Caenorhabditis elegans: one gene and its partners. The protein of the gene in region 2 binds, or shares a complex with, the protein of the main gene of each other region. Each region holds a gene or a part of one and is shown on either strand. Other genes may lie near its edges.

What was found.
Region 1: cic-1 (region 2) and mdt-31 share a complex: the UniProt entries of both Caenorhabditis elegans proteins name them as parts of the mediator complex.
Region 3: cic-1 (region 2) and sop-3 share a complex: the UniProt entries of both Caenorhabditis elegans proteins name them as parts of the mediator complex.

The regions. Positions count from the first base shown.
Region 1 is NC_003279.8:8,964,397-8,967,627, forward strand, and holds mdt-31 (Mediator of RNA polymerase II transcription subunit 31), read left to right. Parts: upstream 1-1,717; 5' UTR 1,718-1,733; coding exon 1,734-1,761; intron 1,762-1,900; coding exon 1,901-2,002; intron 2,003-2,109; coding exon 2,110-2,274; intron 2,275-2,324; coding exon 2,325-2,566; 3' UTR 2,567-2,605; downstream 2,606-3,231. Other genes in the region: snpc-4 (snRNA-activating protein complex subunit 4 homolog), read left to right, coding at 1-134, 190-259, 304-528, 586-906, 955-1,164, 1,213-1,350, 1,405-1,527; spd-2 (Spindle-defective protein 2), read right to left, coding at 2,699-3,029, 3,077-3,231. UniProt on the Caenorhabditis elegans protein: Component of the Mediator complex, a coactivator involved in the regulated transcription of nearly all RNA polymerase II-dependent genes.
Region 2 is NC_003281.10:2,398,999-2,402,753, forward strand, and holds the start of cic-1 (Cyclin-C), read right to left. Parts: upstream 2,224-3,755; 5' UTR 2,211-2,223; coding exon 2,179-2,210; intron 2,132-2,178; coding exon 2,025-2,131; intron 1,969-2,024; coding exon 1,857-1,968; intron 1,805-1,856; coding exon 1,683-1,804; intron 1-1,682. Other genes in the region: Sterol 4-C-methyltransferase strm-1, read left to right, coding at 3,101-3,163. UniProt on the Caenorhabditis elegans protein: Component of the Mediator complex, a coactivator involved in regulated gene transcription of nearly all RNA polymerase II-dependent genes.
Region 3 is NC_003279.8:2,774,440-2,778,194, reverse strand, and holds the start of sop-3 (Mediator of RNA polymerase II transcription subunit 1.1), read left to right. Parts: upstream 1-2,093; 5' UTR 2,094-2,112; coding exon 2,113-2,250; intron 2,251-2,300; coding exon 2,301-2,434; intron 2,435-2,493; coding exon 2,494-2,581; intron 2,582-2,628; coding exon 2,629-2,771; intron 2,772-2,773; exon of another isoform or gene 2,774-2,810; coding exon of another isoform or gene 2,811-2,948; intron 2,949-3,000; coding exon of another isoform or gene 3,001-3,282; exon of another isoform or gene 3,283-3,283; intron 3,284-3,755. Other genes in the region: Y71F9B.13 (NADH dehydrogenase [ubiquinone] 1 beta subcomplex subunit 7), read left to right, coding at 746-1,047, 1,097-1,208, 1,646-1,762; Y71F9B.1 (uncharacterized protein), read right to left, coding at 2,811-2,948, 3,001-3,282. UniProt on the Caenorhabditis elegans protein: Component of the Mediator complex, a coactivator involved in the regulated transcription of nearly all RNA polymerase II-dependent genes.

The DNA of each region.
Region 1 (3,231 bases), on a different chromosome or scaffold from region 2:
CTGAAGAATAAGCCGGATTATCAAAAAATCCAAGATAAAATCAACGAAATTGTTCAAAAGCACAAAAATGCAGCCGAAATCGACAAAGAACTACACTCCAGTGAAATTCTCTCATCGCTCACAATCACGGAAGTGTTAGTTGAAAACCAAAAAAAAAACACCATATTTTAATTACATTTTGTTTTTCAGTGATGTTCGTTACATGATAGAAAGAAGCAAGACTTTGACGCGTTACTACGAGGCTCGACAGTTTAGAAAGGTAAATTAATTGTACAGAATATTAACCCATTGAAAAATGTTCAGAACGTGGATCAAATCGGATGTCGTGTTCGTCCGATTAAGATCGATTTGGATCCAGAAACAATGCCAACATTTGATCCAAATGATGCTGAAGATGAAAAGCAAATGGTCATTGTGGAGTCGTTGTGCTCTGTAATTCGTGCTCACGACGTAAAAGAATGGGGCACTAAGTTTTGGAATGAACATCGCTTCACAGCGCCGAAATACGCTAAAAGATTTGTGGAGAATGTGAGTCAGAATAGAGAAAATAAAGTTTAATGAAAATTCACATTAAAATTCTCACAGATGGTCATAAACAAGTCAAAAGAAGTCGCTGAATGGTATTTACATGTTAACTCAAAGTCATGCAATCAAAATGATGTACATTGCCCAGCCAAGTCAACTCTTCCTCCGACTGCTGCATCATTCGATCTTCACAAAATGCTTCAAAAAGCCCGTTCTGGATTGAATCGTCTTTCTGCTGAACACTTTTACCCTCTTGATGTCTCTCTGGCTCAACAATTCAACTTCAAAAACGACGAGAGAGAGGGCCTCGACGGAGACAGACGTATGCATATCGGGTTGTCTGATGAGGTCACCAATAGTAAAGAGTATGCGAATTTTTATGTAAGTGAATATATTATATTCTTATTTTTATTTTTGATAATTTTTCAGGCTCGAATGCGTTCGATTCTTCTCGAACCAATGCGTCTTGGAATTGCTCGTGAATCGTCGTCTGATGAAACCAAGCGGCTTGTGCGCTGTCTTGCAGAGGAACGCGCCTGCGATGAAGAACAACAAGTTACCTGTGACCAAATAAGACGACGCCGGATGCCTGATGACGAGATCTATGTTACTCCAACTTCAATCTCTAGAGAACTAAATGTAAAGTTTTTTGCGTTGTCTCCACTGCTAGACGTTGTTTTTTTTCAGAACGGCATGAAAATCGATACCACCGAGTTGTTGGCTAATCTGGACAAGAATTCTGCGAAGAAAATCAGAATGAAAAGGAAGATTGGAGAGGTGAGATGTGACACTAAAATTAAACTTTTACCCCTAGTAATCCTTGCGGTACTATTATCTATATTTTTCTCATAGTCCTCAATGAAACAGTATATTTTTCAGACCGTTGCGACAGTTGCAGCGCGTCCTGCTCGTCCACCGCGTTCATCTGCAGGTACACCCACTCCAAGTCACGTCTCGATCGATACGGAGAGTAATATTTCGCTCAAAGTGGAGTTAGATTGAATATTCTATTATTGAACAATATAACTATTTTACCCAACTCTATGTCATCCTCTCCTGTGCAGTTTTACATCACTTTTTTAAACTGAACCCATTAAAAGTTGATCTCCTAAGATTATTTCACTTTTGTTTTATTAACAATCTCAGCTCTTTATGAACACCATCTGTTAAATTTGTTTTTCTTTTTCTAATAAAATGGTTTTATAGGCATGGGTCGTTTTAGTTTCAATCGATACGGTATGTTTCCATTGGAATAATATATTTAACTCATTTCGTAGTACGGATTTCACCGTATAGGTGAAAAAAGGTCATAATATCAAAATTTTGTAAATTTCTGTAATTTTTCGAAGCTTGAATTCCATTTTTTTTTCTTCAGGCTACAATACAATGCAGATGGAGAGTGTAGAAAGTGAAAAGACGAGATTTGAAGTTGAATGTGAATTCGTGCAGGCTCTTGCAAATCCAAATTATCTTAATTGTGAGTTTATTCACATACACTAGCCGAGAATAGAGAAAAACGTATTTTTATTCTAAGTTTCTTGTTTTTTTATGCACTCTTTTTCCTGCAAATTTCATATTTTCCAGTTCTCGCGCAACGTGGTTATTTCAAAGAAGAATATTTTGTCAACTATCTCAAATATCTTCTCTATTGGAAAGATCCTCAATATGCCAGATGCTTGAAATTTCCTCAATGTCTGCACATGCTTGAAGCACTGCAGAGTCAGCAATTTCGCGATTCGATGGCTTACGGTAGTTCAAATTTTATTTAATCTATCAGAAGAATAGTAACTTATTTTCAGGACCAAGCGCGAAATTCGTAGAAGATCAAGTGGTTCTCCAATGGCAGTTTTATCTTCGGAAACGGCATCGTTTGTGTATGATGCCTGATGAGGGACAAGAGCTTGAAGAATCTGAAGATGAAGCTGATATTCGACAAAAGGACACAGAGGATGAAGATGATGAGGAAACGATGAAGAAACCGGATGCTGACACAGCCGAAAAGAATTCCACAACTTCTACCGTTTCAAAGAAAGAAAAATAAACATAAAAAATGTAAATCAAATAAAACTTCATCACCACTTTATTGAAATTGAAACCTACATTTTACAGAACCGTGAATTTTTTCGAAGCCTGGACAGAAATCAGAGAATATTTGGAAAGTTAGGTTAAGATTTTACTTTCTATTCGAAAATCTTGTATTGGGAACAATTGTAACGTCGTTGACAAATGTCTGATTACGGAAAGCTGTTGTCTCGAGTAGAGTAGAGTCGTCGTTGCTGCATATCTCTTTCTTCTTCCGGCTTGTAGCAGCACGGAATTCAGTTGTAGAAGTGAAAAAATTGATGAAGAAACTACGATAAGAAGCAGCGAACAGATCACGGTCCTCGGGCTTGATAGCGGGGAATCCAACTGGAACAGCACGAAGAACTTCTTCATCGGAAAATTGGAAAGATGTGAAGTCATGACCATCGATTAGTTGATGCTGTCCTGTGCGAACTTCTAGCCTAAATAATTTCAAATGTAATACCATTTCATCTGTATTCAAATTAACAATCGAAGTCTGGTTCGCATGGTTTCTTCACCCCAAACGACATGCACAAAGAATTTGGCTCCAGGAAGAATACGTCGCTGGAATGAGGATGTTGTTGAGGCTGTCGAAAGCGAAGACGATGTACGAAAATTGTTTTCATCGTGAAGATCAATATA
Region 2 (3,755 bases):
GAAAAAATTGAATTTTTGAGAGAAAAATTGATTTTTAGACGAATTTTTGGACTACAACGGGTTTTTTATCGAATTTTTGACGTTTTTAGTAGAAAAATTAATTTTTTAGTGGGAAATTTGATTTTTTGGCGATTTTTTGAAGTAAAACGCGTTTTTAATAGAATTTTTCGAAATTTTTAGAATTTCTAGCAGAAAAATCGAATTTTTGAGGGGAAAATTGGTTTTCAGGCGGGTTTTTTTCGAATTTTTTGAAATTTTTTGCATTTTTAGTAGAAAAAATTGAGTTTTAGACGAATTTTTGGACTAAAACGGGTTTTTTATCGAATTTTTGACGTTTTTAGTAGAAAAATTGAATTTTTGAGTGGGAGATTTGATTTTTTGGCGATTTTTTGAAGTAAAACGCGTTTTTAATAGAATTTTTCGAAATTTTGGGTATTTTTTAGCATAAACATTGAATTTTTGAGTGGAAAATTGACAAAATTCTGTTGTTTCTGCTGAAAAACTGGTTTTTTAAAAGAAAAATTGAATTTTTGATTAGAAAATTTGATTTTTAGGCCATTTTTTGGCCTAAGAAGAGGTTTTTATTCTAATTTTCTGTGATTTTTAGCGTTTTTAGCAGAAAAATTACATTTTAGACGGATTTTAGGACTAAAAAGGGGTATTTTATGAATATTTTCTGAACATTTCGGCGTTTTCCGCAGAAAAATTGAATTTTTTAGTGGAAAATTTGATTTTCAGGTGGATTTTTGGACTAAAACGCATTTTTGGTCGAATTTTTTACAATTTCTGGCGTTTTTAACAGAAAAATTGAATTTTTGAGGGTAAAATTGATTTAAGGCGATTTTTTGAAGTAAACCGGGTTTTTAATTAAATTTTCTTAAGTTTTTGGTTTTTTTAGCAAAAAAAAGATGAATTTTTGAGTGGAAAATTGATAAATTTTGGTTTTTTCTGTCGAAAATAGATTTTCAGGCAATTTTTTTGAAGTGAAAACGAGTTTTTTATCGAATTTTTGAAATTTTCGGCGTTTTTAGCGAAAAATCGAATTTTTCAGGTTAAAAATTGACAAAATCCGATTTTTCCACACAAAAAACGATTTTTAGACGAATATTAGGACTAAAACGGGTCTTTATGGGTATTTCCTGAACTTTTAACCGTTTTTAACAGAAAAATCGAATTTTTAAGTGGAAAATTTGATTTTTAGGCGATTTTTTGGACTAAAACGGGTTTTTTTCTGGTAAGTTGGGCGTTTTTAGTTTTTTTAATTAAATTTTTCTGAAAATTGGCCGTAATTTTTTTATTTTTGGCGTTTTTAGGAAAGCATCGAATTTTTGAGTGAAAAAGAGGCAAATTTTTCGAGTTTTTCGAGTTTTTCAGCTTAAAAATCGATTTTCAGGCGATTTTTTGGATTAATAAGCGGAAAATGAGCTGCAAGAGTGGAATTTCAAATTTTTTTGAGACAAAACTTGACTCAAAAACTGTTTTTTTTTTTTGGTTATTGAGGTGATTTTTAGAGTTTCTAGCTGAAAAATTTGGATTTCAGCGGTTTTTAAGTGAAAAATTGATGTTTTTTCCGGGTGTTTTTTCGGTTCAAAAGCCTATTTTTCACTAAATTTTCCAATTTTCAGCCGGATTTCCGCGTTTTTCTGCCAATTTTTTGCAATTTTTCCGTCGTAAAAACGCACAAACGATAGCTGTATTTTTCAGAAAGCTTGAGACGCTCAACGTAGTGTGTTCTTCAACTTTACACGCTAAAAATAATGCTGTAGAGGCTACGAGGAATGGGCACATGTCACGGAACGATTGCCTGAAAAATTCGACGTTTTTCCAGGTTTTTTATCATTTTTTTCCGAATAAACCTTAGATAAAATCGCTTAAAATAGATAATCGCAGTTGCAATAACCTGTTGACGGAGTTTACATCCAACATTTGCCTGTGAGTGGGCTCCTTCTGTGGCGACGGCGGTTATAACTGAAAAAAAACCAAAAATTATCGATTTTTTCGAGGAAAAAGTAAGGAAAAATTACAATTCGCCCAGAAAATATTCAATCGATTGTACTCTTCCTCGTTATAAATCTTCATATCCTCGGCGCGTTGCTTCCAAATCTCGGTTTTATCGAAAATCCATTGTTGGCTGGAAAAAATGGGATTTTTTTGGGTTTTTCAATGGGATTTACTTACCAATGACTGCTTTTCCAGAAATTTAAAGCCATTTTTCAACTAAAATCATTAAAAAAATGAAAAAATCGAGAAAAACAGTGGAAATTGAGTGAAATCGATGAAAATTCGAATAAATAAGAATAAATTCGGAGTGTGGATTTACGGTAAAGAACACGCGCCTGCGGGATTCCGGAGTGTCGTTGTATGTCTTTACGCGGTAGTTTAAATCGATTTTTTAAAGCTGGTGGATTATGGCTAGTTTAGAGGGGGTTTTGAAGTTTTTTTTTGTGAAAAATTCAACAAAACGTAGTCAAAATCCTTCTTCTGTGTTAAAATTCAAAAAATTCCATTAAAACCGAGACAAATCGAAATTTTTCTGCAAAGCCACAATAATTAATAATAATTTGGCTCATTTTTCAGAGTTTCTCATGAGTTTATGATTTTTGTGTCAAAATGCTTCCAATTTGCTTTAGGTTTATGTCAACTACATTTCACCCGTCTCCAATCCCTCTGACCACTTGAACTTTCACTTTTTCCCGAAACTAGGCGGAGTCTGGCGGGGGTGCTAGTGAAAACTATCCAATATGACACAGTCACCCATTTCTTGGATGAAAATCCGGCAATTTTGTTTGCAAAACTGAGCAGAAATCATCATTTGATAAGAAATTCGCACCTTTTTGACCTTTTTGACGCTGTAGTCACTGAGCAAATAGAAAAGTGGTACAAATTGGCTGGAAAAAGTCGTATAAAGGAGCTTTTTGGGGAGTTTTAAAGTGTGAAATTGGCTTTGTTAGGTGCTAATTAGTATATTGGAGATTTTAGGAAAAATTTAAAATTTTCGAAAAAAATTTTTTTTTTCGAAATTTTTTTTTCAGAAAATTTTTGTTCGAAATGTTTTTTTTTCAAATTTTCAGATTTCCAGCCAATTTCTTCGTCTATAAACATGTCCATCAATATGAATGCCAACTTTTTGAAGCTTCTCACCCATTTTCGGCGTCACGATTTGGTAAGTTGAATTTTTTCCCAAAAATTTGAAATTCCGACCTATTTTTGTTTAAGTCTTAATTAATGCAATAAAAATGCGAAGATTTTTCTTTGTTTTGTTTAAAAAAACATTTTTATAGCTTAAAAATGAGCAAAGTTATAGGATTTTTTCTAAAAATTTTTTATTCCAAAAAAAATTTTATTTTTTGAAATTTTCAACATTTTTTTAGTACGATTGTAACTTTTTATTTGAATAAAATATTTATCTACAATCTGCTTTAAAAATTATAAAAAAAATCTTAAAAATGAGAAAAGTTATGGTACTTTAAAAAAAAAAAAACTCAAAAAAATTTTTTCAAAAAAAAAATTTTTTTTTTTCAATTTTTTTTTAAAATTCCCCCCCAAAAGTACATTTATTTCTTATTAATGTTATTATGTACTATCACATCTTATCAGTACGAAACCCTTCGTGTTCTTCTGTTTTATTGAAACCAACGGAATATAAGGTGACGAAATGAATTTGACCTACTTTTTTCTGTTATTTGCGCCGCCGCCGAAAATTGGTGAAGAACAAATAATTATTGTGACCTTGTTAATGACAATGTCAATAATAG
Region 3 (3,755 bases), on a different chromosome or scaffold from region 2:
GCTCCGAATCGGGGAATCTTGATCGGGAGAATCTAAATCTGCCCATAGAACCTTGAACGTTGCGGAAAATTCAATTTTTGCCACGAGTCACACAAATATGGGAAATCTGAATTTTTGAGCTCAGATGGGCACAGTTTTGTGGGCGTGGTATTTACAGGGAACTCAGATATATGGGGAGCCAAGATCGTGTAAATTTACAAGGTGGATCTCCGTAAATCTACACAATTTTGGCTCTTCCCGCGCCACGCCCCTTGGGTCCCGATATGTATGCGTCTCTTCAACAGACAACTCTCTGCGGCTTTGTAATATTAGTTAGTCGCAATAACTTGCAATTTTTGTACCGAAAATACGGTACCCGGTCTCGACACAATCTACTTTTGTTGCTAAATTTCCAGCGATTTTTTTTTCGATAAAAATATATTATGAAAACTCTTAAACTTTGAAAAATCGTGAGAAAATCTATGGGAAATCGGTGAAACTACAGTAATCTTTAAAGGCGCACAGTTCATTTCCATTTAACCAATAATTCACGTGGTGTCAGGCTGTCCCATGACGGTTTGATCTACAAAAAATGCTGGAATTTTTCTCTCAGCACACTCTTAACTATGCGAAATTAGTTTAAAAGTCTGCGTCTCTTCTCCCGCATTTGGGGCACTTTGACACCACGTGATAATTGTCGTGTCAAGACTAAGTTATAATTCGCTGCGAGACTCGAAAAATGATGTGCAACCTTCCCAACTTTCAGTTCGTCGCGGACTGCAATTTCAGCGGCGGAGGCCCCGGGCCGGGAAAACTGGCGGACACCACCAACCGCCAGGTCGCCGACACATTCTACCAGAGGACCTACGAAAACTCGCCGAGAGTCCTGCCAAAGTATATCTACTATAATGAGAATACCGCCAGAGACTACGGGCAGTTCGGTAACTGGTACTACCCGAATTACTATCCACCAACTTATCTCGGATTCTTCGACGGACGGCCGGCAAGTATGGCACAGCTTGAGAATGATTATAAATTTGCAAAAGGTGGACATTATCCATATAACAGGTAAATTTAAATTTTTTTAAAATTAATAATAAAACTTGTTTTTTTTCAGAGCCGATAATATTGTGAACATTGGGCTTCAACAGACATATCTTCCAACTTGCCTTCACGACTTGTTCTACTGTGTTCGCGCCAGCAATGGGCAGAGACCCCAGGCGTATTTGGTAGGTGGCCTAGGACTCAAAAAAAACTAGGCCATCGATTTTTCGAATTTTTAAAGAAAAAAACCATGTATTTTTAGTTGAAAATCTCCTTTTTTTAATCTTTTCCACGGATTTCTGGCTTCCCTCATAAATTGAAATGGAAGAGTTTGCCGAACTAGGTCATTTAGGCTCGGCCATATCTGGCATAGATTTACGGAGCGTTGCGTGTCGCGTCGCGGCTCGATTTTAGTTGTAAAACTAAATGTATTTGCCCGTGTGGAGTACTTTCCCACGTGTTTTCCGGCAGGCGATTGTCAATGGAGCGCGAAAAATTCAATGAGGAAGGCCAGAACCCCGTGCGCACGTTTAATTTTGCAACGCTCGCGCCAAGACCTTTCCTCTCAATTGAGCTCAAACAACGTTTTTTTTTAAAAATCACATTTCCTTCTCTTTTTCAGAACTACAAAGAATACCGCCGTGACCGTGACCAGGCTGCTGAACAAATGGCCCAACGGGATCAAGATATCAAGACTCTCCGCCGCCACCGCACCAGACACCACGAGGATGATGAATAAATTGATTTTGTTTGTAGATTATTAATGAAACATGATGTATTTTTGTTAATAAAATATAACTTGAAAATCGATTTTTTCTGCAGAAAACCGGTTTTAAACCCTGAGACGAATTATCTAAATTCAAACACCCGCCAATTGATGCCAGTGGCTGTGGCCTAAAATCCGCCTGCTAAACAACACGCGCCGCGTTATAACGGAGTGTCGTTCGCAGCAAAACAAAATATTTTTTGCACCGATTTTCTATTTTAAACTGCATTTTTAATGGGTTTCTCGTTAAAATTTCTCAATTTTTATATTATTAAACAGCAAATAATTAAATATTTATCGATTTTCAGGTAGCGAAACCTACCATGATAATTGAAGAGAGGAAAAATCATGAGTTAAACCTGGAGTCGATCGATCGAGATTTGCGAATGGAAAATGTCCGCCAAAGCGCAGAAAAGCTGGGATGGGAGCATTTTGCGAGATCTGTCAGGAGGAATTTGCTGGTAACTGCAATCTCCACCGTTTTTCATTGAAAAAAAAATCAAATTTTCAGGAGAAAAGGCAAACACTCGATGCACGAACCCGTCTCGACGTTCTTGGCTCTCTGGTTTTTATGAAAGAGCATTTACCAATTGATAATGATGCTACTATTGCTCGAAAAGTTCAACAATTATCTGAAGGCCTAGGGTGAGTGCTTTTTTAAATTTTTTTTAAATTAAAAATTTTATAAATAATTTTTTTTTCAGAGAACATTGCGTGTTTTCAACTCAAAATAGTGGATTTTCAATCAGAAATCCTGATGTAACAATCGACATTGGTGTTGCAGAGGATCAAGTGCGTTGAATACGGGATTTTACCAAAACAATAAAGCTATCTTTCAGATTAGTACCTGCAAAATCGGTTATTTCGGTCAACCGCTCACTGATGCTCCAGGAGCTCTAGCTCTAATGAAAAATGGAGAATTCTCGAAGCTTCGCGATTCGATAACCGCGATTTTGTCCTCACTTCCGAAGGAAATTACATTGTAAAGCTAATAATATTTATTTTTCAGAGGAAAAGAAAACTAAAAATATGAAATAAAAGCGTAAAAACTAATGAGAGCGACAGCGAGAATAATCGAAGATCTGACATAATGCACCGGCTGGGAGATCTTATCCTGTGTGAGACGGATGAAGCTGATCAGCAGGGCTCCAAGGGCTACCTGGAACGATTTTTATTGAATCATTTAAGAATAAAAATCAATAATATATTACCGGCGGAAGGTTCTTGGCTTCTTCTTCCAAATCGATCGTCGGTATAGATTCCACAGAGGAGAACGTCCACAGCAGAAAACTCGTGTAGAGACCGCCGGCGACGATGGAGAGGGATGAGAGAGTGCGCCACGTGGCGTTCCGTGGAATTTGAATGATGGAGAGGATCGCCGGGACCAAGTAGACCGGCGTATAGGCCCACCAGGTCGGATTTCTCGAGATTTCGAGAAGGCCGTAAGCCAGAAGGCCCAAACCGAGAATTGATTCAGTGGCGCGGAGGAACATTCTAGAAAAAAACCATTTTTTGTGAAATTTTGATTTAAAGGTGGTGTAGTTGAGTTTTTTATTTCTTTATTAGACTCAAAATTGTCTGAAAACACCGAATTTGATAATGAAACTTCTTGAAAACTTTTCCAAAAAAAATTATGACGCTCAAAAAATGACCTAAAATTAGTGAAAATTTGAAGTTGACCAACTTATCATTGTCGCAGCGGCTGGAAACAATTTTTTTTTGAAATTGTCGTCTATTTTTGAGTAAACAAGTAGATTATCTTGCGTTTTAAGCTTTATTATGGTATTTAAAGTCGATGGACGAAGAGAATTGATTAAAAAAATTTGAAAAATCTCTTCGTCCATCGACTTTTAAATACCTTAATAAAACTGAAAACGCAAGATAATCTACTTGTTTACTCAAAAATAGACGACAGTTTCAAAAAAAAATTTGTTTCCAGCTGCTGCGACAAAGATATTTAAGTTGG